Linked DNA regions of Alligator mississippiensis. The protein of the gene in region 4 purifies or fractionates together with the protein of the main gene of each other region. This does not show direct contact. Links are inferred from orthologs where the notes say so. Each region holds a gene or a part of one and is shown on either strand. Other genes may lie near its edges. The genes, in order: INSIG1, SREBF2, SREBF1 and SCAP.

Region 1 (7,273 bases), about 13 Mb from region 4:
GCTACCAAAATAAAATGCTGAAGCTTATTCTATGTCTTAGCTCGCTCATACTTATCTACAGGAAATAGAGAGGGAGAGAAAAAGTCAGAAATGGTCGGGGAAGGGGAGAGAATGCATTTTAAAATAAAACAAAAACAAAAAACTGGGGGTTTTGCTACAGCTGTACAGGTGTAAAAAGGTTCAGTGAAGCAGTAAGAAAAGAATGATATATTTTTTCACACCATGGAAACAATCTTGAGGGCCCTTCTTGAGACTAGCCCAAAACCCTTCCCACTCAACATATAAAAAAAATATTAAATTTCTGGTACCATTGCAACAAATGCCACATCACAAAGAAACATAGGATCAATCCAAATACAAGCATAATCCATTTCTGCACATCATTACACTCTACGCTCAGCAATTCTAAACTCTTGATCAACCTGGCCCAACAATCCTGCTTAAACTAAATGGTACCCAAGATGCTATACCAGGACCCAGAATATTGTCCTCTAAGTCTCTGGGAAGAAGAAATATAAAACAGGAACAAGTTAAACGGCTACAGATCCCTGCACAGAACTCTTGTATTACTAGACCACCTCCTCACAACTACAGGAGGCTCTGGCTAAGTAACATACAGTGAAGTGCACTGCTGGTGGAAATCACAAGACATAACACAATCTAAACAGAGACAGAACTGCAGCCAATTGAACAGAAACAGAAGAGAGCTTGAGAGAGGGAGGCATTTTTTACTCCACCATCCAAAATATGAGGAAGTGTAAGGAAAATACTTACTCAAAATATCAGGAACATGTGAGACTTTTCTTCAGAAAGCAATGAGGAAAAAACCTGCACCCTGATCCTAAGAGAAAAGAGAGAGACAGCAAGAGGTGACATCTTGCTACATGGTAAAATGCCAGGAATAGACAGTACTAGGAAATAGACATGGGAAAGTCCCTCCCCACATCCCTCAAGAACATGTAGTCCTATCCTGGATTAACCTTGTTTTCTTTGACCATATCAAAAAAGCCAAAACCTTTCTTTGGCATCCCTTGAAACTTAACATGTCAATAAAGTATCCTTGATTTGAACTTTGCCCATGCTATTACAGCTATGTTTAGTGGTGTCATGAAGACTTTTTCACTGGTTCAATGTATGGTAACAGCGCTGTTGCATAAACAAGATATATGTTAGGAAAAACAGAAGCTGGATCTACTTGGATACTGCTGATATTTTTGTCCCCAACCCCCAAAATATTCCACCAAGAAAGTCTGGTTCATCCTAAGGCAGACAAAAAATCTGGACCCTCAATCATCTTGTATCATGGTTTTCAGCACTAGAAAAATCAAGCCCAGTAGCTACATCCTGCTATATGGAACCAACTTTTGGCTCTGAACACCCAAATTTAAAGGTCTGGTCTGGTTATAAAAAAAGTTTAGCTGCTTATACAGCACCAACTGATAATAGTTTCCAGAGCACGATGAAAATTGGTCCATAACCATTGCAAAAACCTGGATGCAACACTCTATCCAGCTGGAGATGAACAGAGAGCTTGGCAGTTCACCCAGTTCACCCAAACTGCTAAACTTGACAGCCTCATTGCAAAACAAATGCAGTTGCTTCTATTTCACTGGAAAAATCCAGACCATAATGTATGTTAGCTAACTAGTACTGGAAGAGCATGTACCTGGAGCCAAGCAGTGTTTAATTACTAATAATTCCTAAATGTGTCTCTGTTAACTAGGGAAAAAAATGCACCAGCTCCTAGTGAGCCAAAAAAGCCTATCAAAACCTGTTGCAAATAGATGGAGTGACGTGAATTCTCCTTCATCAAGCCCTCCTTTTTTTTTTACCCTGAATTCTAGAAGCTACACAAAGAAGAGCAAGTATTGTATTCTCACCATAAAGTCCATGCCACGATGCACCTTGTAGCACCATAAATATGTGTCCAGCACTTAGAGCTTGCCAAATTGTACTCTAAAATTAGACAGCACATAAATGAGACCAAATACACCTGCTCCTAGTCCATTATAAAAATCTGGTCCCCTGAAATGTCCAGGTGAAAAAGATCCAGATATGGACCTGGAACCAGCAGGATCCCGTTCAGTTTTTCGACCTGTGTCCCCAAAGTTTTGCTTTCTAGAACAAGCATTGTCTTCCTTTTCACTAAATCTGCAGTTGGGTATCCCCTGAATGAGAAGCACATTCTTGATATTTTTAGAGAAGTAGCTGGCCATGTTACGCTGATGTTAAGTGGAGGGCAGGGTAGATTTGCACCTTACAGACTAACCAAAGCAGCTTTTATTTTATTTATTTTTATATATATATATATATATATAAATATATGAGTACACTGTTGGGTTAGCCACTGTTCTGAGTAGCCCCATGTTTGATAGAAATCAGTAGATCAGTTGTTCTCAGCCTTTAATGGATACAGGGTTCCCTTGCTTTATACGGGTTCTGTATGTGTGCATTCGCTCTTATGTGATGACTCTTTTTTATACCAAAAATTTGTTATGTGCGAGGTAAATTCACCCTTATGTGATCGGTGTGTTGGAAGCCCAGTCAGCTGCTTTGTGCGGTGACACGCACCAAAATATAGTTTCCCGCGTGGATCTGCGCTCCTCGCCTGTTGTCTGCGACACGTGTTTCTTAGCTGCCATCCCCATTAAGGTAGCGCCCTATGCTTGTGTGTACTGCGTGCTGTAGGTGAGTCCAAAATTGTCTTGGAAAAGTGGTAGAAATGGGTCTGGTGGTCAGTACAGTCGAGGTCTTGGAACGTATCCCTATTTGTTGCATTGTAAAGTGGGCTCCCTTTACGTGAATTCGAGTAATGCACCGTGTTCCAGAAACACATGTACAGCATAAAGTGAGGGAAACCTGTATATATATGTGCGTAACATAGCTCAAGCTTTCATGAGCTGATGAACATACCTGAAGAGCGTTCATGCCTGAAAGCTTGCGCAAAGAACAACTTTTCCAACTATTTAGTTGGCCTAATAAAAGCTCTCCCATTTACCCATGTCCATGAGGGGCCAGCAGGGGAGATTATGCTTAGGGGCAACCAACATGGATGGGTTCATTAGAGGCAGGTCCTGTCAGACCAACCTGGCGGCTTTCTATGACCAGGTCACAAAATCCTTAGACGCAGGGGTAGCAGTGGACATGGTCTTTCTGGGCTTTAGGAAGGCCTTCGACACTGTCTTTCACCCCATTGTCATTAAAAAACTAGGGGACTGTGGCATTGACACCTACACAGTCAAATGGGTCACTAACTGGCTGGAGGGCCGCACCCAGAGAGTGGCGGTGGACGGGTCTTATTCCACCTGGAGGGATGCGGGCAGTGGGGTCCCCCAGGGCTCGGTCCTCGGGCCTGCGCTGTTCAACATCTTCATCAGCAACTTGGACGAGGGGGTGAAAAGCACCCTGTTCAAATTCTCAGATGACACTAATATGCAGGGAGAAGTGGGCATGCTAGAAGGGAGGAATAGGCTGCAATCAGACCTAGACAGGTTACAGGGGTGGGCGGATGAGAACAGGATGGGTTTCAACACTGACAAGTGCAAGGTGCTGCACCTGGGGGGGGACAACCACTGGTCAGGCCGCAGCTGGAGTCCTGCGTCCAGTTCTGGGCACCGCACGTCAGGAGGGATGTGGACAACATGAAAGGGTCCAGAGGAGGCCACCCGCACGGTCAGGGGCAGCAGGGCAGGCCCTACGAGGAGAGGCTACGGGACGGGAACCTGTTCAGCCTTCACAAGAGAAGGCTGAGGGGGATCTAGTGGCCGTTTACAAACTAGTCAGGGGGACCCGCAGGCACTGGGGGAGTCCCTGTTCCCCCCAGCACTACCGGCAGTGACTAGAAATAACGGTCCCAAGCTGGGGTCTATACATTACAGCAGTCGGCACCCCCGCTTGTGCTATACACATGGGTGGAGAGAGAGAGAGAGAGAGAGAGAGAGAGAGAGAGAGTGTGTGTGTGTGCGCGTGCACATACCGCTGTAGGGGTACGTAGGCGCACGCGCACTCGGGCAGCGCCCAGGGGCAGCTCGGGGCGGGGGCGGGGAGCGCAGGGCCCCGCCCCCTCAGCCCCGGCGCCAGGCGCCTTCCCCGGGCGGGCGGGCGGCGGGCAGGAGGCGGGTGGTGTGTGCCTACGTCATATGGGCCGCGCGCCTCCCATTGGCCGGGCGGCCTCACCAGACTGCGGCCGCAGCCGGGGCCGCCGCCAGCTCCCGCCGCGCGCCGCCCCGCCCCCGCGCCCCGCCCGCGGGGTTGTGGGGGGGGGCTGCGGGGGGCGGGGCGGGGCGCGCGGGGCCGGCGGCGGCGGCGGCGGCGGTGGTTATAAGCGTCCCCGGGCGGCTCGGCGCAGGTCGAGTGGTGGCGGCGGCGGCCCGATGCCCAGGCTGGAGGGGCGCGCCCGCGGGAGCGGCACGGCGGGGGCGATGGTGGAGGCGGAGGCGCGGCCGCGCTGGAGCCCGCATCTGGTGCAGCGCAGCCTGGTGCTGTTCGCGGTGGGCGCCTTCATGGCGCTGGTGCTGAACCTGCTGCAGGTGCAGCGCAACGTGACGCTGTTCCCCGAGGAGGTCATGGCCACGCTCTTCTCCTCCGCCTGGTGGGTGCCCCCGTGCTGCGGCACCGCCGCAGGTGAGTCCCGGGCACGTGGGCGCGGGCCGGGCCGGCGCTCGCCCCGCACGTGTGTCCGTCCTCGCAGCCGCTCGTGCCGCTCGCGTGGCCGTGGCCGTGGCCCGGCGGGCATTGATTTTGCGGGTCGCCGTTCACTGCTTCGGGGAGCGGGGCCTCGCTGCTGCACCGCCTGGACCTGGCTCCGTGGCAGCGGGGGCGGCTGCAGCTGTTGGCCCCGGGCCCTCTTCTCCCAGCCCCAGGGAGGAGGATGCTGTTGCTGCCTGTGCGCTGGGCAGCCACGTGTCTGACAGGAGCTGGAGGTTCTTGGACCCCCGCATCCATGGCTGGTGTGTGGACCAGGCCCCCCGCCTCCCCCACCTCGCCGATGCGACCTGGGCAGCACCACAGGTCCAAACCCAGCCTGTGACCGGGCTTCCTTCCTAGGAGAGGGCCGGCAGACCCTGACCCTGTGCGCTACCTGCTTGTCTCATGGCATCTTTCAAAGGATTTTGTGGTGCCTGGCCCTGGCCCTAGGCAAACCTAAATAGTCCCACCCCGAAGAGCGGGGGAGCGGCTCTTTCTAGCTAGAGTAGGTTGTGTGAAAGTGCTGTAGCTGTGATGGTCCAGAAACGAGGCGAGGCAAGAATTTCCTAGGGTGGTATGTCTTCATTGAACTGGCTGTTGCACTGCAGACACTTGGTTAATTTAACCCTGTTCTAGCTACGTGGCAGGGTCAAGAAGAGATCACCCAGAAATCCTTGCCGCTCGGCTAGCTATGGCTATGGCGAGCTAACCTGTGAAGGGCTTTCTTAACTTGTTGCCTGATGCATGGGGTAGGGGAGCAGTGGAGAGGCCTCCCTCCTCCAGCTGTTGTCGGGTAGGGTTCAGCTGTTTGGATCTGGCGCAGTGGAGGCAGGTTTGTCTTTGCTCCTTGCTGCACGATTGGCTCCCTCCAGAACTGGTGAGTTGCAAGGCGCTGCCTCTATTGGCTGCCTGCGCGAACATGCCACAGACAGAGAATCGAAAACAAGGAAGTCACATGTCGGAAGAGGGTGGGACGAGCTTGTCTGGCTGCCTGCCCCGCACGGGGTCCACCTGGAGCCCTGCAACCCCCAGCAGCCACAGCCGCAGTAACTGCAAGAATCCTCGGTTTCTGGTAACACTATAGCACAATTGGGACAAAACACCCCATGAAAAGAAAAGAAGAGTTCTCTGCTGTATAATTGGAACAAAAATGGGTAGCCAGCTTCAGTGTTGGAGCCAATAAACTAAGCCCTGCTTCTATCTAATGTAACACAAATGAGATTGAGGAAGGGATGGGGGTGTTAAAGATGTTGGCTCAAATTTAAAAGCAAAACTAATAGAAACACTCTTGGGGGCAGAGAAGGGTGGCTTTTTGTGTGGATATATTGGTTGGTCTTGTTTTTGGGGGGGGTTCCTGATGGGGAGAAGCTTTGATGGTAAAAACAGAGTGCCGGCAGTATAAACATGTGTGTGTGACTAATGGTCAGAAAAAGACGCTTGCATGTAGAAGCATGCTTGGTTCTAATGAGCCAAGATCATTTTCAGTTTAATTAATGAAGGTATTATTTGTGATGCCAATAATGGAGTTTTTCTTAAATAATGACTCTTTAATCAGATGCCTTTTTAAACACCCGTGACATTACACATTACATGTGGTTGCTGACATTGTTGAGTTGGAAAAGAAATTCAATTTGGCCTGGCTTATTTTTGTAAGAACTCCATGGAAGTGTAAAGGTTTTTAAAGGAACGCTTCTTTTGGTGCGTCTGAGCACAACATCCTTGATCAGCTTCCTCAGCGGGCGTAGACAAGATTTTTGTAACTGTCTTCTGAAGAGATGTCCGTCAGAATAAATGGAATTCAAACGAGGGCTATAGGATTTGAGTCTTGTCACATACTGACTTCAGGCAAGTTGCTTTACAAAACACTGTGTAGTCTGTAAAGCTCCTAGAGTTTGTGGTATGTTAAGCCTTCAAACACTAATTGCGCCAGCCTAATAAATTAGTCTTTATAAACTATAGACATCTGTATTTCTGACTCTAATCTGCTTACCTTCAGTTTGTAACATGGGGGGGGGGGGGTCTTTTTGCTATATAGAGATCTAGCTCTTAGCTTTTCAAAACTGCATTATTTTGTTTCCAGAGAGAACTAGATGAGTTGCACTTTCATAGTAGGCTAATACAGACAGTATCACAAGTGTTTCCTGTTTAGCCTGACCAGCTCTAATACTTAACCTGTTTATTATTCACATTGAACACAGGTTTTTGTTCAGTGAATGTTTGCCAAAGATGTAGCTATAGTATTCTTAAATCTGAAACCCAAACTTTTAAACTCAAGAGCATGAGTGAAAAGATCACCATATACTGAAGAAATCAAATAGCCCTCTCTTTTGGGTTAAACATGAAGTATTTGGGAGATCTGTGAATATATTGATCAGGAAACGTCAGATTTTTTTTCCCCTTTTTTTTTTAAAAGAAGGATGGACTTACTCAAAACCAAAACTGTATCAAGATGCTAAATGCAGGGGTATAGCTTCAGCAGTCTTCACAAATAAACTCATAGGAGTTACTGAAACTTGATACGCAATACAGACAGATTTTTACTTTATTAGTTTTACAAATATCTAAAATAATTCCACTAAGTTCAATA
Region 2 (6,951 bases), on a different chromosome or scaffold from region 4:
GGGGGGCACATGCCCCCAAGCCCCCATGTCACTTGTGCCCCTCCCACCCCCCACGCATCACCTGTGCCCACACATGCCCTTTCCCACACTGGGGGGCTGGGAGAGGGGGGCTGTAGTTTAGGAGTGAGGGACACAAGCAGGTCCAAGGGGGTATGGGTTGGGAGTGAGAGGCACTGGCAAGGCCAGGATGCTGTGGGTTGGGAGTGAGGAGAATCAGCAGGGCTGGGAGAACTGTGGCTTGGGAGTGAAGAGCAACAGGATGGGTGGGAGGAAGTCACCGACATATTGGGGCTGCTCGGCACCACAAAGCAGCATGGGGGAACAGCCACAGCTGGACCCGTGTCCTGATAAGCAAAGTGGGTAGGGGGAGCTTTGATTTTTCTATTATTTTCTATGATAAAAAAATATCAAACGCCAAAGTATATAGGTATTTAGAATTTATTTTATTATGACGATTGAGGTACTAGTAGGCTTCTAAATTGCTTTAAAATTGCAAATATATCAATAAAACATTGTGTTCAACTTTATTTTATATATATATATATATATATATAAAAATAATAAAATAATAATAAAAAATAATTATATATATAAATAAAATATAGTGGTGTTTCATTTTAATCATGGGAAAATGCAGATTTTGGGGGTTTTAATCAGAAAATTTGGAATTTTTTATCAGAGACTTTGGATTTTTTAAACAGAGAAAACCAGGATCCCTGCACATTACAAATGAAGCTATGGCCTCTGAAAACTGTCAGATCTAACATTACTTGTCACAAAAGTAAAGGTTCTAGCCCCAGTGTTATGGCCAAATTTGTATTGGGTAGTTACAGTCTTTACTTCAGGTCTTCAACCGTTGTGTATAATTGCTGTCAAATGTCTTCTCCACCTCACTTTTGAGACATCTGTATTTCAGAATAGTTAACGTTTTATTCATATAGAGCTATAGGTTAATGCCACACTTCACTCATGGAGCAGTGTTTTCTTCCCTGCAGCACTATAATACTATGTTAAGCACAAAAGACAGGGGAACGATTGAGGGCTGGGACAGGTTGCGGATTAGTCATCAGAGGAGGAAAGATGGCTGTCAGAAGTGATGTGAAGAAGAATTGCGTGGCAGGTGAGGACAGGGAGATGGGCTGAAGAAAGGGCTGGTCGAGTGGGTGGGAAGGGAGGAGGAAGAAGGAGAAGAGAAGGGACTGGGTAGAGTGTAGAGCATTTGAGGACAGTGAAGGGAAAGCAACAGCAGAGGTGTAGGTGGGGGATTATGTAAAGGCTTGCAAATGAATGAGAGCTTGAATCTGGTGTGGAGGCAGGAAGCCAATACAACAATTTGGAGAGGTGACTACAGTATAGGGAGAGAGGCTGAAGGTTGTGATAATAAAGGCAATATCAAACAAAGGTTTTGGTAGTGGGGCTTGAAAGGAAATAATGGATTTTGTGACATTAAAAAGGAAGAAGAAACAAAGACGTGGGAAGAGAAGACAGAGGAGAAAAGATCAGAGCACCAAGACTGTATATTGCTGGACTCCCTACCAAAAGAGCCTCAGAAAAGAAAGTGGTTAGAGAAGAAGAACGATTAATTAGGGGAAAAGACACATGGCAGAAGGGAACAAAAGTTGCCTGGCCAGCTAAATAGGAGAGCTAGAAGGGTGGAGCAGTTTGCCATACAAAGGCTGCACTGAGGTAAGAGAGGAAGGCCAGGGGTCCCTAACTATCCAGAGAACATGTACATTTGGCAAACTGTATGGCTTGAAATGACACGACAGGATTATATTTGAAATGCAGCCTGGCCAGGGGAGCTGCAGGTTGCTGGTTAAACCATAACTAGAGAGATGGTTTTGTTAACTTTTCCCAAGTGTAACTCCACAGCAGTACGGCCAGTTTGGACATTTTCAAATTGTGAGTCGGGCCCTCCCCAAATCAGGGAGACTGGCTTTAAAATCACAAGAATTGGAAATTGCCCAATAGTTTGTGTTCTGTATGGTGTGTGTTTATGTTTGCCATTGAGTCTTTGAACCTTTAGGAACACTCGGGGCACTTTGTAAAGGTATTTTTCTACAACCACGGAGGGCAAGAAATAAGGTGCAAGTAACACATCATTTATTGTGAAACTTGCAATGAAATCAAGAAATCCTCAAACTCTAGTCCCTGCATGTCAAAAAGGATATAGAGGAACTAGAGAAGGTACAGAGAAAGGCAACAAGGATGATTAGTGGAATGGAGGCTCTTCCATAGGAGGAGAGATTAAAGAGGCCAGGCCTATTCAGATTAGAAGAGAGATGCATGAGGCGGAACATAAATGTTTACAAAATACTAAATGGTGAACAGAAAGTAAACAGGGATTTGTTATTTACTCTCTCCCAGAATACAAGAAGTAGGGATCACAAAATGAAACCAGGAGGCAATCAGTTTAAAACTAACAAAAGGAAGTTCTTTTTCACGCAGGGTGTTGTGAGAGTATGGAACTCCTTGCCTGCCTGATGGTTTAGCCAGGTTCAAAAAGGGATGGGATGCATTCTTAGAGGAAAGGGGCATCAGTTGCTATTGAGCACAGAAGTGAGGGGCACGGCCTCTGAATCAGACGTTGTCCCTTCATGGGCTTGATTGGGCAGGTGGACCCAGTTCAGCCCCTGGGGCATGCGTGGCAGGTCCCCATCCGGTTGTGCGGAGGGGAATGGGAGAGCAGCCTGGCTCCCAGCCAGCTGTGTAGGGAAAGTGGGGGGGGGGGGGGATGGCCTGTTTCCAAACTGGTGGAGCAGGTGAAAGGGGTGTGGCAAACAGCTTGGGGGGGCAGGGGGCATGGCCCAACCTTGAACCAGCCATTAAAGGGGAGAGGGCATGGCTTGCCCCATGGAAGGAAGCAGGCATAGCCCAGCTCCAACCTGGCTGGGCAGATGGAAGGAGGCATGGCCCAGCACCATGTGGGGAGAACAGCAGGTCAAGGCTCTGAGCCCTCGCAAGGGCCTTGGCCTTTTGACAGCAGGGAGGGCGGCAGCCTGACCTGCCCCTGTGCCCCTGCTCCAACTTTCCTGCCCTGCAGGGACCCGGGCAACCTGCTTTCCAAGGCTCTGTGTGCTGCATTTGGCCCACAGGCCAGAGGCTGAGCACCCTGGGCCTAGAGTCTAGACCCTGAATGCTGGAGGCTGTGAGTGAGAGGAGCAGTGCGGAAAACCCTGGCAGCACCCAGTTCCCTCCTCCTTTGTGCACCCCCTCCCTGCCGTGTGACACTGGCCCCGGGGCCCAAGGGGCAGAGCCTGGAAACGGTCATTCTTGTGTTCTTGGGGCTGCAGGGGGCTGCTCCCTCTGGGCTCTGCCTGCACCGGCAAGCCCTGGGGCACCTAATGCCTGCTCAGGCCTTGGTGTTTCCAGGGCCCAGGGGCCCGAAGGCCCCTTTGCTGCGCTCAGCTGAGCTGCAGGGCCTGGCCCCACCGGCAGGGAGTGCTTGTGTCCTGTGCCCGGAGGTGGGAATTGTGGGAAGGCCCTGGAGGACTGGCAGCGTGCAGGGCTCAGCCAGGCTCCTGGCACCTCGCTCTAGCCCTGCCAGCACCTGAGCTCTCCTGGTGCTGCCACTGCACTGCACTGCCCTGCCCTGCCCTGCCCTGCCCTGCCCTGCCCTGCCCCGCCCCGCCCCGCCCCGCCCCGCCCTGCAGCCCCCCCTCCTGCGTTCTGCCCCTTTAAATTCTCCTTCGCGCTGGTGAATAATTAGCAAGGCGGCCCCGCCCCCTCATGAATATTCCACATGGAGAGGAGGAGAGAAAAGGAGGTGGAGGGGCGGGGCTATGTATGCAAATCAAAGCTGCTGATCGCCGACGCGCCATCACACCACGAGCCGGCGCGGCCGCTGGTTGGTCGGAGGGGCCCTGGTCTCATTGACAACGCGCCGCGGGAGCGCTGCCGCGTTGGTGGGGGTAGGGGTAGGGGCTGCCCGGCGGGGGGGCGGGGCCGGCCCAAGATGGCGGCGGAGCCTGCGGGAGCTCGGAGCAGGGACTGAGCGGCGGGACGGTTGATGCCCGGGGTGAGCGGTCGGGGCGGGCCCGCGCGCGGTGGCGGCCATGGAGAGTGGCGAGCTGGGCATGGAGACCATGGAGACCCTCACGGAGCTGGGCGACGAGCTCACCCTGGGCGACATCGACGGTGAGCGCGGGGGTCACGCGTGGGGCGCGGGCTGCGCGCGGTTATGCGTGGGGCGGCGGCACGCGTGGGGGGCACGTGCCCGCAGCCTGGCCCTGGGGCGCGCGTGGGGCCGCCCTGGGTGAGGGCCCGCGCGTGGGGGGCCGCCCTGTCGCGGGTTCGGTGCGGTGGGCCTGGTGGGCACAGGGTGTCTTCGTGTGCCCCCAGGCTTGGCCTTCGCACACAGGTGGGGTTGGCTGGGCCAGACCCTTCTCCTGCCTCGCGTGGGCTGGGTGGAGGGTACTGGGTGGGCGCAGGGTGTCGGGGCCCTACTGCCTTCCTCTGCCTGGGGCTTGGCTGTCCCATGCAGGTGGGGTTTGCTGGGCGAGACTCACCTGCGTGGGCACCATGGGGCTTCCTGCTAGGCAGAAGTCACCCCCGGGGCTCTGCCACTCCTGGCCCACATCCGCCAGGCAGGGTTGCGTGTCTACGCTGTGCCTGCCATGGGTGTGCTTCTCGCACAGACTGTTGCATCCCAGAAGCCTTTATTTCTGTTGGCATCCCCGATTGAAAGGTGTGTGCTGCCTTCCTGTGTCCCCGGCTGCTGTGCAAGGGAGTGCCCCTGAGAGCAGGATCTCCATCAGCTTCCACCATGCTTTTTTTCTTTTTCTTTCTTGCTTTTTGAGAGTTTGCCATATGGATGTTTCTGGCTAACAGCGGATGCTCGCAAGGGATGGGGCAGTCGTCAACAACTCTCTGGTTTCATCATAGCCATTGCTTTCTTGGGGGGCCCTTTTGTGGGATTGACACTGGGAATAAGTGCAGTGTGAATGTGTGTGTGTAGGGTACGGGAATAGTAGTGTCCTTTCAGACATCTGGGTTTGGGGCACCTGCTTTTGTCCTGGCAGCAGTAAACACTGTGCTGCTTATTCTCATTGCCCAGATTCCTACTTCTTTCCTACTAATAACTTGAAGTGTCACGGCCTATAAATAGCTGGTTTTAGCATCAAAGAAATTGGAAAGGATGCAGGCAAGTTAAGTTGCATCTTCCCCTTAGTTCTAGCCTGTCTGAAGTCAGCAGTAAGTTGCTTGAAATGTACTCCCTCGTGCCTTTCCAAGCCCCTGTATAAATGACTCAGACATCTGGGCTTTCACTGATTTCTATGAGCAGGTATTCCATAGAATCCTAAATATGCCTTACCAAAAGGAGACGTTTCCCAGATGCTTTATTCCCCCCCCCCCCCCCCCCCCCCTTTGCTCAGTTTCTTTCTGTTGTTCCCTGGTAGTGAACACCTGATCTGGACTGAATATAAATGCTGGCCTGCAGAAGAAACAGGAGACTTGCTAACATGGCCTGCTGTTGTACAAGTGCCTCTTCTGGCTTTGCTCAACAGTTGATTGTGCAGTGCACGAAGGGAGGAGCACATGTGTTTTACAGCATCCTCCCTGGTGGATCAATACAACATTGAGTCACACATTGGAGTTAAGAGTTGCTGCTAACTTGTAATGTTGCCTTAGGAAATTCTTTTGCTATTTTACAATCTGCAAAATGGGGCTAGGTGATGTTATAGCTTATTATACAAAAGGGTGCTGAAGCTTAATATTAGTAGGTTATGTTGGTGCTGCTCATTGAATATGTAAAGCATTATAGGTGGCGGTCTTTTCAGAGAATAAACAATAGGTGCTCTTTCTGTCACCTGGTGTGTAACAGCCATTTGATGTTGGTAGACCGAACCAAGAGGCAGATTTTCTGATCAGTTATTGGTCAGCAGTGTTACTAGTTGATGCAGCCAGTTTGGTATAGTTCAGAGCAACTCATCCTCGACAGAGGGAAAGGAAGCATGGGAGCATTTTGTTTGGCTCAGCCCTAAGTTACATTTTTAGATGGGGTGAAGCAAGAGCAAGGTCCGGGGCCACCCGAGGCTCCACGGCGCTGCGGTATCGTTACGTTTAGGGGGGATTCTGATTTAGAGGCATTCAGTCATAATCCCACAGATGGTAGCTTCGCCCCATTGGCTCCTCAGCCAAGCACATACACCAAATGTCTGAACCTGGTGTTTTGCAGTCCAGCATGCAAGATCCTGGTGTTTTGCAGTCCAACACGAGCTTGTCAAATAACTTTGATTTTTTTTTTTTTTAAATCTTCCTTATCTCACTGCCAGGGCAGCAGCAGCAGCAGCCCTGCCACACACTCTGCTCTTTCAGGCTAGAGTATTCTCTGCAGTCCATTCTTTACAAATGCGTGCATTTGTACAGTAGTTTACAGTAGCTTGTCAGTCTGAAACATACATGGCAAGGTAAATGATTGTGACTGTGCAGTGTCCAGGCCCTAGTGCCCAGGTGCTGAATACTCTAGGAAGTTAGTACTTTGCGAGTTCAGGTTGCAGAGTAGGACCTGGAATGAGGCCAGGGAGTGTTGTGTGAGAGCACTGATCAGTCCTACTAACTGTATAAAATGTAGGTCTGTCCATACAAAATGTCCACATGCAGCTTACTGCAGTGCTACACAGTTTAAAAAGAAAAACATTATGTTGGCTGTAAAAACGTTGCAAAAAGATGCATTTGAGATCCAGATTGTACAAGACATATCAAAAATATTTTTCCTATCCTGGAAAAGTGAATCTGGCACAGAACACATACATTTAGAGTACTTTTTTCCACCTGAATCAACCCTTTCAACTGCTTATGTCTGTTCCTTTCCCTGGTATTTCAACTCAATTTTTTCATGGCGACATTAAAAGGAAAAAAATGAGTGTACACATATTTTTTCAGCTGTCTCCTGGGGATGAAGTTAGTGTTGTCTGTTGCCCAGCATTCATCATTGTAAAGTTCGTAGAC
Region 3 (7,232 bases), on a different chromosome or scaffold from region 4:
CATCGTTCAGGAGTCGTGTCCTGTTGCTGGGTCCCTGGTTATTACTGCCCCGGCTTTCTCCACAGTGTCACACATGACCGCACCTTCCCGGGAAACAGTGCAGTTCCCCTGCTGGCTCCAGCCCCACCGTGCCCGCGATTCCAGCGGACGTCCCTTGCCTGCGGCGAGTGCGTTGCTGCAAGTGCTAGAAGCTCTGTGGGTTTCTTGGCAGGCCTCTTCTTTTCCAAGCCTGGGAACCTGTAAACAGCCACATCAGGTGATTCTAAGCATACTAATCCAGCCGCCTCACCAAGTCCTCCGATTAATAGCGCCGCTAGAGAACGGACACTGCCAAGCAGGGCTCACCCGGGTACAGAGCTCGAGGGAGTCGAGACAGGGAGGGCATTGCTGCAGGGCTTGGAGCTGAGCTGGGACGACCTGGTGTTGCTGATGGAGTCCTCCCTCTGCCTAACTTGTCTGCATCTGCCCTCCCCTAAAGGGAAAGGAGAGGGCACCCCTCTCTCCTCTGCCCCCTGCTTCCCAACCCCTTGATTCCTGATTGTTCCCATGGGCGAGATCCCAGAGGGCTGCCATGTGATGGACTGGAGCCCCTGCTAGGGAGGGTGGAGCAGCTGGGCCTCAATGGGGAAGTGCTGGGTGCCGCTGGGAGTCAGGGCACTTTCTTATCTGTGCTTCCAGCCTCAGGCCCTCCGGGTTGCCTGCTGTGGCCCTGCGTATCGATGAGTTGGAGGTCATGCTATTTTTTGCCTGGGAGCAGGTGTCCCCTCATTAACGGGGTGGGAAGGCAGGGCAGTAACTCACGCTCTGGTCGGCCCTTTGCTAGATCCAGCGCTTCCAGGACCGTGTCTCCTATGACACCAGAGGAGCAGCACTTTTGGGCACGGGCTATTCAAAGCAGGGCAGACGTGGGGCCGAAAGCCATGGGACATGACCGAGTGGGCTGCACTTGCTGGAGGATGACACCAGTCGGTGGGAACACCGAGTGCCCGGAGGATCTGTTGGTGGACGAACCGTTGCTACAGGTTCCCAGTATCCTGTATCAGGATCAGCCCGTCTTCCCTGTGCTGCTCATCATGGTTTGCAGGAGTGTGAGCAGTTCAATCCTCCCAGTCTCCCTTTACTTGGGAAAAGCCTGGATTATCCCTCTTGTCTGGAGAAAACTGCTCCCCACCTGGACTCCTCCGTCCCTGGCCTTGCCAATGCTTCCCCTGCGTGAGCAGGACAGAAGCGACGTGGCGTGGAGACTCCCAGGCCAGGAGGAGCGGAGCTGAGCTGCTGCTTGAACTGCTTCCGTCCAGGCGCGGCCTAGCAAGGCTGAGAGCTTGCTCAAAGATTTTGCCTCCGCTGCCACACGCTCCACGACAGTCGTAGTCGGGACCCTCTGCGAGCTCCAACAACACCTTATCCTAGGTTAGACTATTTATTTTGTCGATACGTGTTTTTTTTCTTTCGGAGACATGTTTAACCTCCTCTGTTAACCCCTCATGCTCTGAGATGTACAAAGTGAATTGTTTCTATTTAAATAGCTATTTGGGGGGGCAGGGGGGCGTTATGTTCTGCTTTGATTGTCGTGTGTAGGTTCCACGTGCACCTTTGGCAGGCGCGGGGTAGGTGACAGCGTGCCGTATGGACTCGTAGGGCCTCTGGTCTGTCCGTGAAGCTCATAAAAACATAGCGCGGCGTCTTGGAGGGAAAGGCACGTGTCTGCAGGGTGGTCACAGCCAGACCCCTGGTAGCTTCCAGCATCCCTTTCTCCTTCCAACTCGAAGAAGCCCCTTCCCCAGGCTCCACAGCGGTGCAGTTCTGGCACCCACATTTCCAGGGTGTTTCTGCGCTTCTAGGGAGAGGAAGGGGTAAAGCCGTCAGCCTCCCTGTAAGCACAGGGCTTTGGCTGGGCACAGGTGGTGGCGAGACTCAGTTTCCTCCAATAGCCGAGGACCGGTGCTGGGCTGAGCATGCTGGTGTCAAGAAGGGAGCATGCTGCCCAGAGGCGCTAGGTATTAATCGGAGCAGGGCACGTTCCGTCTCACCCAGCCAAGGTCCTTGTACCTGCTTGCTCCTCTGTAGCGCTGCTGTCTGCAGCAATCGGAACGGGATGTGTGGCGTTGGAGGCGGGGAGGGCAGCAAGCCTGTCCAAGCAGAGCCCGTCCAACTGCCCGCCTTGGCCCCGGGCTGTTGTGGAGCCTCTGTGGTTGTCGGGAGGTCCCGGAGGTGGGGTGACAACGGTTCCCGCCTGGCCCGGTTGGCTCTGCCTGCGTTTACCTCCAAAATGCCACAAGGCAAACGCAGCTTGGTGGGGTGCGGCAGATGGTTCTGTTTGGAAATAACCTCCTGGGCTGCCCCTGGCATCCTGTGGGCATCTCCCTGCTGCCCTGGACTGGCCCAGAGCGAGCGTGGCAGCAGGCGTCCCCACCGACCCGCGGCCACTAGCGCTCAGGTGCCACTTCTGTCCACTTAACCCTTTCAAACGAACACCGGCGGGACCAGGCTGCACCTGTGCCCGCTGCCCACGGCTTCCCGAACCCCCCGGGCTGGTGCTCTTCCACGCGGCGCTTGAAGACCTCCCTGCCTCAGCCAGGCACCGGCAGCAGCTGCTCCCCTCTCCCGCTGGGATAACCGAGCCCACACTCGACTGACAGCTGGCTTTGGTCCCAGCCTGTCTCGTTCCCCCCCCAGCTCTCCCTCCTGCTGTCTCTTCTTCCTTGGTGGCAAACATATGCCAAACCAACCGCCCCGCTCTGTGTTTTTATGAGTGCGAGCTCCTCCTCATTCCCTACATGTTCCTACGAGCTACTGTTTAACACTACAGACATAACCCGTGTACTAGCTTCTCCTGTATATTAAAGCTGTAGGCTTTCCGGATAAAAACAAAGTGGAATAATATTTATTTACTGAAGATATTGGATATTTTTTTGTTTGGGGCGGGGGAGGGGAAAGGGACTTAACCATTTAAAAAGACTGACAATGTAAAAAAAAAAAAAAAAAAAAAGACACTAACCGTCATTGCTGTCTTCACGTAGAAACCAGTGTATGTCAGGATGCTCCACATGTATTAATCCATCTCTGAACTTGTTCCAGAAATCATCTCTCTAGTTTGGTTCTTGCATGTGAAATACTCCAATAAAGCACTACTCGTGTGAGCTGTTCGAGCCACCCCCGTCTCGGGTCCTGCTTTCCGGGTTTAAGCGCTGCGAAGATCTAGCTCCGTCCGCGCCCGCCCGCGGTCAGCGGCCGGGTCACCAGCGCGTTCCCAGCGCCCCCCTCGCCCGACGCTGGCGGCACAAAGCCGGCTTCGCGCCTGTGCCCTTGGCCCCAAACCGGCCACAGCGCAGGAGCTTTGTCGGCAGGGCGGGGTGTGGCGCCACTGCCCGCCTGCTCCCCACACCCGCTCCGTGCCTGGCACAAGGCTGGAGCGCGAGCAGGTGCCAGCGGTGGCGGCGGCCGGGACCCCCGTGCCCCTCGCGCCCAACGCACACGCTCATGTCCTAGCGCCCCCGCGTGCTCCTCGGATGGGAACGAGGGACTGGTTCGGTGCCACGAGGTCGGTGCCACCTGGGTCCTTGCGGGCGCTTTTGGCGGCAGGGCGCCACTGAGGCGGTTCCCGCCAGGCAGGACAGGCCATCTCCCAGGTGCAGCCCTGGTCCCCTTCTGCCCCTTCAGAGATGCACAACAGGACGGGGTTTCACGCGGGCACCCAGGAGGCAACCAAAACAGGGGTCGTGACCCCAGGGGGGCTCCTGGCCCTCACACGCAGGGGAGCTGGGCGTCGAGACCTCGGCCTGCAGGACCCCGGCGCGCGGGGGTGCCTTTCCCGCCGCCCCCCACGCCAGCGCTGGGGCCGGGCCACGTGCTCGAAGCGGCACGTGGCGCCCTCTGCAGGGGAGCCCCGCCCCCTGGGCCGTCCCACGTGGCCCGCGCATGATGTAATCGCCGTGACGCGACATCACTCCACTCCGGCCACGCGCGCCCATTGGCCGCCGCCGCCTCCCATCAATACCGTGGGCGGGGCTCCCTGCGCGCATGCGCCGCCGGGCCCCGCCCCCGGCCGCGGCTCATTGGCCGTCCGCCGGCGCGGCCCCCGCCAATGGGGGCCCGCCCCTGCTTAACCACTTCCCCGCCGCTCGCGCCACCCACGTGCTGGCGACCCACGTGCGGGGCTGACGTCGCTGCCGTGACGTCAGCGCCCGGGAGCCGCTCCGCGCGTGGGGGGGTCGCGGGGCTGGTCCGCGTGGGGCCACCCCGCCCGCCCCGCCCCCGGCTCCCGTCACCGGGGGCGCGGCCAGCGCCAGCCCCGCCCGCCCAGCAACAGCGGCGGCCCCGGCGGAGCGGGACGGGACTGGACGTGCAGGAGGCGGCGGCGGCGGGAGCCGGAGCGGGATCGGGATCGGGATCGGGATCGGGGCCGGGCGGGAGGATGAGCGGGTTCGGGCTGGAGGCGGCGGCGCTGGAGGCGCTGGGGCTGCACGAGCCGAGCGACATCGACGCGGCGCTGCTCAGCGACATCGACGGTGAGTCCCGGCCCCGGCCCGATCCCCCCCGCCCCACGCGTGTGCGCGGCGCTGCCGTGGGCCCGGGCCCCGCCCCGCCCCGCCCCGCCCCGCCTGACGTCAGCGGGGTTACTGCCGGTCGTGCCCCGCCGGACCCTGCGCACACGTGTTAGTGCAGGGGCACACACACACACCTAAACATACCTGTGCACATGGGCACGGGCACGCCCGTGTACAGCCAGGGACGTGGGGTGCAGGGCTGTAAACACGGGCACACCCACGCACGCATACACGCAGGTGGGTGCAGGGGCAGGTAGATGTGGCACACGTCTGCACACCGGCACGGGCGTGCCTATGTACATGTGCACGCAGCTGTAGGCTTGCGGGCACACCTGCATATGCACGCGGGCACACAAGTGTGGGCTCACGCTGACGGATGTGCGGGCACGCACACGGGCACACACACGTGTGCGCGGCTCCCCGAGGGCGGTCACGCCCCTCCCGCGTAGGGCAGCCCGAGCGAGGCTGGCGGCGTTGCCGTCCGGCCCCGCGTGGTCCGTTTCCCCTGCCGCTGCCCCCGCGCCGGGTGGGTGGTGGTCCCGAGCCCCCGGCCCGCCCAGCGTGGGCACCCGTCACTAGCTGACCCCCGCAGCCCACGGGGAGCAGCGGGCAGGCCGGTCCTGGTGCCGCGGGGCCGTCGCCAGCAGCGGGGCTCGGAGCACCCGCGGGTGCGGGGGCCAGGCTGCCCCGAGGCGCCAGGGAGCGACGGCTCTCCGGCTGCGGGGCCGAGCGGATGACCCCCCCCCACAAATCATCGCCGCCAGCGTTGTGGGCACCAGTGGGTCCACGTTTCCCGCCCGGGCAGGAGCTTGGCCCCGTGCCCAGCAGTGCCAACGGCATCAGGGCTGCTTCGGGCGCTCCCGGTTCTTTACGAGGCGAGACGGAGGTTTTATAGCGGTGCCTGCCCGGGCCTGTGCCCGCGGGTGCTGTTAGGAGCTGGTGTGGGCGAGCGAGCTGCAGCGCGTGGCCCGGGGGCCGTGGCACTGGCCACCCTGGGCATCTCGGCTGGCTGGCACGCCAGGCCGAGCCCGAGGAGCGCGTGGCCGGGGGTGGGAGAGGGAAGCGGGAGAGGAGCTGTGGGGGGCCTGGACTGTGGTGGATGCTGCTGCCCCTGGGGTCCGTGGGCCCAGCCCCGGGACTGCGGGCAGGGCCGGGCGCACGGTGCTTGAAGGCCGAGGGGCCGGGCATTGGCGCTGGGCAGCACGGGGGGCTCCACGCACAGTGGGCGGCGGGCGCTGCCCCAGAGGCTTCGCCGCCGTGGCCACGTGCCCTGGCACAGAGGGCCACGAGGCTTGGGTGCCAGGGTGCCAGGGGCAGGGGTGGGTGCTGGAGCTGGCCCCCTGCTCTGACTCATCCGGTGCAGCCAGGAGTGGGGATGAGGCCCTCAGCCCAGCCCTGCGCCTCCGGGCCCCGTCTCTCCCTGCCCGGCCCGGCGCCCGAAGGGTTAACGCAGGAATGCCCGCGAGTAACCCCGCCGGCAGCGCAGGGGTTAAGGCGGCTTGCCCTGGAGTAACCCTGCGCCATTCAGGTCGCGAGGCCGGGCCGGCGCGCGCTGATTGGCCGAGCGCGATCACCTCATGCCCGGGCCCTGATTCACAATTCCAGCCGCGCGCCCGTCCCCGGGGGGTGGGGGGCGGGAAGAGCCCGGCCCTTAAAGGCGCCGCGCGCCCGCTCCCCGCACGGGGCCGGGCGCGGCTGCAGGGATGGAGTGCACCTTCGAAGGTACCCGGCGAGGTCGGCCCTGCTGCCAGGCTGCAATGGCGAGGGGGGTTGCACGCTGTCCCCTGGGCAGTGCAGCCTGCTGGGGCGTCCTGGCAGCGGTGCCCGCTGGCACTCGTGCCCTGCCCTGCTCCTGTGCCTGCCCCAGCTGCTCGGCCGTGGGTGCTGCAGGCCTGCCCCAATTTGCAGCAAGGTGCCTGGGCGGCACGTGGGCACATGCAGAAAGGCTCCCCTCCATCCGCCCGGCGTGGCGTGGGGGACTGGCCCGGGCCGCGAGGGCAGGTGGGCGTCAGGACTGCGACCTCCGGGGTTTTGGGTGCTTCCCAGCCAGGCCCACGCTGCAGGGCGCCAGCCCCAACCCTGATCCCTGCCCTCCACGCCCCGGCTGCGTGCCACGGGGGGACCCGGGCAGTGCGAGGGGCGCTCGTGGCAGCAGGAGTGCAAAGCGGGCTGGTGTGCGCCTGGGCTCTTGCTGGGTGCCGGGCTGCCAGGGCTCAGGCAGGGGGACGCCGTGGGAGAGTGAAATGGGGGCCACGTCCCCGCTTGACTCTGTGGCCCTGGGCATGTTCTCCAGCCTCCCTGTGTTGCAACCCCCGCCTGCCCCGCCGGGAGAGGATCGTGGTTCTGCCCTTCCCTCTGCCTCGGCAAGGGCTGTTCAGACTGCAGGTCCCCCCCCAGGCTGCCCCTGCCATCCCCTTGCTGCTGTGACGGGCAATGGCCCTCTCCCCTTGAGGGCTAGCAGAGGCGTTACTCTGCTCCCCCCCAGAGCTAGCCGCTTTCTGAGCCCAGCTCACTTGTTTTCTTGCCGTGCAGAACAAACGTCTCTGGAAACTGCTCTGCAGGCCTGGGGGTGACAGCCCCCCAGCCCAGCCCTGCAGCCAGGAGGCTGGGCCGCAGGATCGGGCTCCTCCACCCGGGGACAACAGTGTGGAGGCTGGACCCCTCCCTGGGTCTGCCCCTGTCCTG
Region 4 (7,772 bases):
TACTGACGTGTTTTTACTGACAGATGTCTTGCATAATCCTTCTGCCAGGCCCGGGACAAGGGCCGGGCTCATATTTAGGGGTTAACACCCACCATAATAAAAATTGTTTGCAGATCATTAGTAAAAAAAAATGTCTTGGGTTGGTGACCCTGCTTGACTGCAGCAATGTTTTTACACCCATCCCAAGGTCCCCTATTCACCTCTCACACACTGACACCCTTGACCACACTCCCATCTCACCCCACAGCCTTACCCCGACCGGCCCTGCACCACCTGTCCTAGCACAGACCTCTATCTGCCGCCTTTCCCTTCTCCCAACCCTACAGCTCCATGCTGGCTAAGCAGCTATTAGAGGCAGGCATAAGGGGTGGGGGAATGCAGTGGCAGCACATGGATGGGGAGTAGAGAAGGGGGGAACCACAAAGCCCTGGAAAGTGCTCTCTGCAGGGTGCCATGCTCCCACTCCGATGCTAGGTGGCACTGCTCTGCTCTGTCTGTCCATCAAGCTCACTGATTCTCTGTTTTTTAGAGACAGTTCCCATTATTTTTGTGCATCAAGGGTTTGTTTTTCCCCCTACTGCTTATGGGTTGTCTGTATATTTATGGACAGTTGGCAACCCTGCTCCACATCCAGTCTGCCACCTCACCTAGCTTGCAAGACTGCCTTCTAGGAAAACCTCAGCAGGGAGGAGAATGCCTGTTTGACGTGCATGCGGGCGAAGCGGATCATTTTAGGGATGCCCACACAGAGGTCTGGGAGAGTAATTTGACACCCCCTGCTGAGGGACCTTGTCCACCCTGCAGAAACAGGGAGGCAGCCACAAAAGCGAGGCAAGGGTGTCAGCAAGTTTTAAATACATGAGACATGGTTTAGGGCCAATCATGTCACTAACTTCCCAGGTCAGTTTAAAGCTACCATGTAGAGGGGGGCTGAAGGCATGAGGAGGTCATGACTGTAATTCTTCATATATTGTAGAAGCTTGGCTGCTTGTCCAATTCATAGATTTCATAGACATTAGGGCTGGATGGAACCTCGTAAGATTGAATCCAGCCCCCTCGTCAGATTGAATCCAGCCTGACCAATGGGCAGGAAGTCAGTTAGGAAGTCCGTGATCTCAGAGTACCCAAATCTATCTAAAGTGCTGTTTGCAAAGCAGAACAGTGGGAGAAGAAATTTGAGGCTTGAAGGGGAACGTCTACATCCTGGCAGCAATGTGTCCTTCCTGGAATGGTTCTGGATACCCCCCACCAATCCAGCAATGGTGTTTGGCCTGGGAAAATGTGCAGCAAGGGCCATAGTCCCAGGACCAGACATGGCAACACTGTGCTCCAACTGGGACCTGACAGAGACCACCCCCGCGGGGTATTTAAAACACAGTATTGACAAACTTATAGGAAAACCCCATCCTCTACCTGGGAAAAGTCCCGGTGCAACGAATGTAAACAGGCCACAGCAAGGTTGGGGCTGGGCATCACGTAATGCAGCTGACGCTCCAGTGAAGGGGTTGAAAAACGTGCCCCAAAAGCAGCACTGTGGAGAGAGATGTCATCAGAGCAGGGGTCAGACCTTTTCTAGTCTCTTTGCTGCTGCTGCTGCTTTGTTCTCTGCTCTTTCCCCTGCTCTGTCCCTCCCCACCCCCCCCCAGTGCCACCGCCCCCTGGTTACCTATTCTCAGGTGTCCACTGGACATGGGAATACCTTTTTTATTCCCTGCATGGCTTGTGTAGGGTTTCAGATGCCAGGGTTTTGCTTCTCCCCCACCTGTGGCAGCTGACACCTCTGTGAGATGTTCTGACGTGCTGCTGGCTCAGCTCTGACCCTGCTCTGTCCTCAGGCTGTGAAGAAGCTGAATCTGTGGGCATAGGAAAAGTGCATCTTGCATCTCTCCCTCTGGCATTGTGACAGGTTGCTGGGCAGCTCCATGGTGGGTGCTGTCCCGAACTGAGTCCTGGCAAGTCACAGCAAGCCAGTCACCATGACATGGTTGCTTTCATCCTGTTTCTGCTACAGCAGACATGGCCTACAACAAGCGGCTGCTTGCAGGTGCCGAGTGTGGGCTTGACACACGGAAACATTTCAATTAATTCCCTATTATCACAGCCTGGCTGGAAGCCACAATGGTAACCTCATCCCTTGGCAGGACTGCCCCAGCCTTGGAGGAAAGGTCAGCCTGTGCTTCAGCACAATCTGCCCCGCTTCCACAAATGCCTGGACCTGGGGGAGTAATTCACATACCCAGAGCTAACCTTGGGCACCTGGCTCTCGTAGGCCACACAAGGAGGTTGTTACAGTCATGAATGGAAGTTAATGCCCTGCAGCAATTGATGTGGACAACGTGGTTTTGCAGTGTCCTGCCCTTGCTCAGACTCCCGGGTGCAGCTGCTGCATGTGGGGAACACCTGCAATGTCCCTTGGAGCTGCCCCATGAGGGTTCATCTGGGACATAGGCAGCTGGGCCACTAGGAGCAACCTGGGGGTCAACCAGGTGGGAGCATTCATTACCCAAGTGCCAGGTTGGGGTCTGGGTTGGAAGGTTGGAGAAAGCAGGGACCAAGGTCCAGGAGAGCGAAAAAGGGAGATCCAATAGGCACAGTGCGACGTGAGCTGAGATCCAAAACCAGGGGTCAGAGAGCCAGTACCAAGTTCCAGGGCAGATTCAGGGTCAGGGCCAGGGAAAGCTGAAGCCAAGTCAGGAGCCAGGAGAATCAGATAGCAGCGTCCATGAGGCTTGCAAAACAGACCTGGGGCTGCAGGTGTGCTTGAAAGGGGTGAGTGGTGCCTTCAGCTGCCATTCAGTTGCAGAGAACTGGGGTGGTCGGATTAACCAGGGATCAGGGGCAGGCGAGAAACTCGGGTGCTTGGCCTAGCTGGGCATGCCTGATCAGAGACCCTAACAGACCCTAGCTTCCTCTACCATCAGGGGGAGCAAATGGCTTTGTGCAGCACCTAGCACGACGGGAGTCTGGTGTGCAGGGAGGGTGTCTAGGTGCCAGAGCGAAGCTAGCAGGTATGTGACGTCTGTGTGTGCATTCAGATGATGCCGGTTGCAACAGCGTGTAGCGTTCTTGTCTGTCCCTGCTGCTCCTTGCCTGTCTCTGCTTCTCCCAGCACTTGTTCAGCCTTGCCAGTGTGCCCAGGACTATGTCACCTGCAGGGCCCCTGGCTGCTGTGTCCCTGGAGGCCAGCCTGAGCTATCTTCAACAGCTCAAGTCTAGGCAGTGATAGCACAGGCCTGGCCTCTGACAAAGGAGGGGGTTCCTACGTATTGCACTGACCACACAGTCCCGCAAGCATGGCATGGAGCATGGGCGGTCCAGCAAGTCTGGCTTAGGGCAGCTGATGCCTCTGTGAGATGATCTGCTGTGCTGTTGGCTCAGCTCCCACCCTGCTCTGTCATTGGGCTGCAAAGGCACCGAAACTGCAAGTCTAGGAAGGGCCAGTCTTGCTGCCACCCTGGCTTTAAAAGCACCTCTCCCTCTCCGGCATCGTGACAGCTCGTCGGGCAGCTCCATGTCCTCTCCAGCGGCTGCCGAAGCCCAGCAGCGGGAGCCCAGTTGCCTTGGTGCTGCGCTGCAGGGGTTGATCCAGCCAGCAAAGGTTTGCCTAGAAGCACCATCCCACTGGAGGTCACTGAGAGGAAGCTTCCAAATTGCGTAAATATTGTTAATGTTTCTCCCCCTCCACGCCGATCCTGGCTTTTCTGCAGGAGGTCCAAGTGCTTCCACGAATGGTCAAAGGTACCTGAACCTGTCAGCGAGGGCTCGCTCCCTCCAAGCACCCCGGGACGATTCGTTCACCAGTTGCTTGTCTGGCTTTCACGATCATCCTGGTCCTAGCGGTTGAGTATTATGCTCCTCACCACGGGCACGTCAGCAACGATCCTCAGAGAGACGTGGGCATCTGACCACCCTTTACCCTCATCTGTGAGAGCAGGATGGGTTTTTACAAGGGATTTTTAGCTTATTTTATAAGGAACGGTTTGATGAAACGGCTGCCAGCGCACACGTGGCGATGCCATAATCGTTTCCAGCGTGCCCTTGCTTTACCGACCCCGTCTGGGTGGCCGGATTAACCATCCAGAGGATCGTCCCCCCCACCCCGGAGCTCCCCCTCAGGCACCGCGCAGAAATAACGTCGCGCAGATCGTGGACCGGGACAACGAGGGCTGAAGGGACCTCGGGAGGTCACGTCTCATAGACGTTAGCCTCAACGCACCCGGGCTTGTCCTCAAAACCTCCAAGGATGGAGACTCCTCTGCTGCTCCGGGGAGCCGGTTCCAGTGTATCACCGCCCTCCTCGTGAGAGTTTTTCCTAATATCCAACCTCAACGTCCCTTGCTGCAGCTTGAGCCCATTGCTCCTTGTCCTGTCATCTGCCCCCACTGAGAACAGCCCAGCTCCATCCTCTGTGCAACCCCCTGCAGGGAGCTGAAGGCTGCTATTCAATCCTCCTCAGTCTTCCCTTCTGCAGTCTAAATCAGCCCATTTCCCTCAGCCTCACCTCACCAGTCCTGTCCCCCAGCCCCACCACCATTTTTGTTATCCTCCACTGGACTCTCCAATGTGTCCACATCCTTTCTGTAGTGGGGGGGGGGGGGTCACAGCTGGACACAGCACTCCAGATGTGCCCCCACTCCCCACCCCATATTGCTCCACGCCGTCCCACCCCCGCCGCCATGTTGCCTCGCTCTGGCTGGCGGGCGGGCGGGCGGGGGCGTGGCCACGCGCTGGATGGGCGGGGCCATGCGTGGGCGCGGCGTGACGTCACGGGGTGAGAGGGCAGAGGGCGCAGGGAGCTGCAGCCGCAGCCGGCCGGGAGCCGGAGCGAGGCTGAGCGCGCCAGGAAGGTGGCGCGGCCGGAAGGTGCGGACCCTACTTCCGGCCCCGGGGGGCGGGACCCCCGACCCATTCTCCTCAGGCGGGGCGCCGTTAGCAGCGCGGGTCGTGTCGTGGCCTCCGCGGTGGTGTTGCCCCCCTCCCTCCCCCCCGGTGCCATGGTTAGTAGCGGGGGCGGGGCGGGTGTCATCCCTGCCGTTGGTGCCGGCACTGACTGACTTTACATCAGTTTTACGACTGGTCCCGTTATTGGTGGCACAATGAATACCTTACCTGTATCATTGGTATTGCCGCGTCTTGGGATCATCGCTGTTTATTGGTATCGTTACTTATTAGTAACCATTGCTGTTGTTCCTGATTACTCGGTCAATAAGTATCGTTACTTATTGGTATCGCAATCGATACCTTACTGGCATCGTTGATACCGTTATTTATTGGTGTCCCGAGTGCGATTGGTCCCATTGTTGGTGTCACGTTTAATATCTTACTAGTATCATTGATATATTGCTGTGTATTGTTATTGTTCCTTATTAGTCAGTAAGTATAATAAGGTTTCTCTGGTATACTCTGGTTTCTCTTCAGATCGCATAAATCTTTCACCTTTTTACTAAAGATTTTCGTGGAAGTATAGTAAGGTATCCTTGCTTGGGGGAGTAACGGTAGTTATTGGTATCATAATCAGTATCATACTAGTATCGTTCATACCGTTATTGATTGGTATCGTTACTTATTAATATTGTCACTTGGTATCGCAAGTAATATCTCACTAGCAGGGATCCTGGCTTTCTATGACTTAAAAAAAACAAACAAACACCCCCATTTTTGGTTTAAAACAAAAAGAAAAGTAACCCCAACTCCACGTTGTTCTGTGACTTTAAACGAAACGCCGTCAATATATAGATATACATGTACCTCTGCAGTACATACAGATGCTTGTATATTATATATGTATATCTGTATATTGGCAGCGTTTCATTTAAAGTCACAGAACAACGTGGAGTTGGGGTTACTTTTTTTTAACCAAAAATAGAAAAACAAATCCCCAATCAGAGAAAATAAGCAGATCCCTGCTTATTAGTTGTATTGGTATTGTTGTGGGGTATTAGTACCCATTGATTGGGGGGGGGATATTGGTATCCATTGATGCTGGGGGGGGGGGTCGGTGTTAGTGTCCATTCATGCCTGGCCAGGGGGGGCGGTTAGTGCCCATTGATGCCTGGGGGGAGGCAGGGGTTAATGCCCATTGATGCCTGGGGGGTGGGATATTGGTATCCATTAATGCTGGGGGGGGGGTGGGTATTAGTGCCCATGGCTGCCTTGGGGTGGTGGTGAGGGTGGTGTTAGTACCCATTGATGCCAGGGGTGGGTGGGTATTAGTGCCCATTGTTGCCTGGGGGTGGTGGTATTTGTACCCACTGATGCCCGGGGGAGGCAGGGTGGTATTAGTGCCCTTTGTTTCCTGGTGGGGGAAGGTATTAGTGCCCATTGATGGCGGGGGGGGAGGGGGTATTAATGTTGTTATTTTATTAGTATCAATAGCCTCATTACTTTGTTTGTCATTAGTATCTTTATCTGATGATGGGTATCACTATGATTATTACTGTTATCATCATGCTAATTACCTGACCCTGCTCGTCAGTCAAGCAGAAGCCACTTGGCCCCGGCAGTTTGGGGAGGGGGATTTGTTGCCTCCTTTTTCCAGTTAGGAGATGGCTGGGCCTAGCCAGGGAGGTGGAGAAGTCACTGCCAAGGAGAGGTCTGTGTTAGTCTGGGAGCCGTGTAGGTTTGCACCTTGCAGACCGACAGAAACGAGCTGTATAGCCTGAGCTGTGAGTAGAGGGCTGGTTTCCTCTGATCCAGGTGTGACGGGGCCCCGTGTAGGCGTGTTGGGCCGAGCTTGTCTTGCTCGGGCTCCGGTCGAGCAGGCTGGTGCACCTGAGGGGCTTGTTTTAGATGCTTGGTTGTGGGCTGGGAATCAGGCTCTGCTAGGCAAGAACTGCTCCCTCAGGCATGGTGCGTGCTGCGTCCCAAGCGGCCTTGCCTGGTGAAAGGGTTAAATAGTAACTAAGGAGGGTGGCAGCATTAAACAGCCTGGGGAAAGGGAAGGGAGGACCATTCAGCTAACCTTACCTACCCTGCAGAGACCGAAGCTGCTTAAGACCTGCAGAAGACGGGGATCTCTGTCCCTCCTGTAGCTGGACACTGAGACTATTGGAGGCAAGTGCTAGATGTGGGAAGAGAAGTAGAGAGGGCTGGTTGCTTGTTCACCTCTGTAGAAGAGCCCAAAACATTCAGCTGGGAGAAACTTCTTGTTTGAGGCTTGTGGAAGCATAGGGTGGCCTGAGGGGCTGTAGGGGAGCCATTGCCTGCAGAAGAAGGGAATAAAAATAGGGAACAGAGCATCTGATCATCCCACGGATGAAGGCAGGGGGTAGTGACTGGTGTAGTGTTATGACTCTGAGCTGTTGCTCCTTTTGCAAAAGGAGAGCAGGGGGCAGAGCGTGGGTGCAGAAGACACGGGGAATAAATAGGCACTAAGAGGACGTGTGAGAAGGAGGGGAAGTCCTGTGGATGCTGCTGTGGGCTGATGGACCTGGTGGACCATGTATTTTTTTTTTTTTTTTCATGCTGGTTAGCAGTCTAATCCATGGGGTTGTGAATCCAGCAAACGTTCCAGCTCTGAAAGAGCAGGTGGCGGCTTCTGAAATCAGTGGGGAGGGAGCTGGACTTCTCTGTCCGTTACAAGGGGGAGAAGTTGTGCATTTGGGACTTGGAGCATGGAGAGAAGGAGCTGTTGTGTCCAATGCCTTTTGCCAAAAATCTCTGGATGCAGCTTCCAGTTTTCTGACGGTTCGTAAAATACAAACAAGCTCCTCTTTTGTACCTTGCTTTTGTTTGTCCTGGGATCCCAGTGCTTGAAATTAGTGTATTGCCAC

Evidence for each region.
Region 1: the proteins of SCAP (region 4) and INSIG1 purify together in Homo sapiens (affinity purification with western blotting; 11 studies listed by BioGRID and IntAct, with this or other methods). This does not show direct contact. The link is inferred for Alligator mississippiensis from reciprocal best matches to the Homo sapiens genes SCAP and INSIG1.
Region 2: the proteins of SCAP (region 4) and SREBF2 purify together in Homo sapiens (affinity purification with western blotting; 3 studies listed by BioGRID and IntAct, with this or other methods). This does not show direct contact. The link is inferred for Alligator mississippiensis from reciprocal best matches to the Homo sapiens genes SCAP and SREBF2.
Region 3: the proteins of SCAP (region 4) and SREBF1 purify together in Homo sapiens (affinity purification with western blotting; 4 studies listed by BioGRID and IntAct, with this or other methods). This does not show direct contact. The link is inferred for Alligator mississippiensis from reciprocal best matches to the Homo sapiens genes SCAP and SREBF1.

What each region holds. Positions count from the first base shown.
Region 1 is NC_081828.1:204,484,323-204,491,595, reverse strand, and holds the start of INSIG1 (insulin-induced gene 1 protein), read left to right. Parts: upstream 1-4,267; 5' UTR 4,268-4,373; coding exon 4,374-4,623; intron 4,624-7,273. UniProt on the Homo sapiens protein: Oxysterol-binding protein that mediates feedback control of cholesterol synthesis by controlling both endoplasmic reticulum to Golgi transport of SCAP and degradation of HMGCR.
Region 2 is NC_081827.1:96,982,097-96,989,047, reverse strand, and holds the start of SREBF2 (sterol regulatory element-binding protein 2), read left to right. Parts: upstream 1-3,931; 5' UTR 3,932-4,055; coding exon 4,056-4,137; intron 4,138-6,951.
Region 3 is NC_081836.1:54,797,758-54,804,989, reverse strand, and holds the start of SREBF1 (sterol regulatory element-binding protein 1), read left to right. Parts: upstream 1-4,219; 5' UTR 4,220-4,414; coding exon 4,415-4,508; intron 4,509-6,196; exon of another isoform or gene 6,197-6,250; coding exon of another isoform or gene 6,251-6,269; intron 6,270-6,347; exon of another isoform or gene 6,348-6,548; intron 6,549-7,232.
Region 4 is NC_081828.1:217,459,113-217,466,884, reverse strand, and holds the start of SCAP (sterol regulatory element-binding protein cleavage-activating protein), read left to right. Parts: upstream 1-4,763; 5' UTR 4,764-4,863; intron 4,864-4,895; exon of another isoform or gene 4,896-4,997; intron 4,998-7,475; exon of another isoform or gene 7,476-7,686; intron 7,687-7,772. UniProt on the Homo sapiens protein: Escort protein required for cholesterol as well as lipid homeostasis.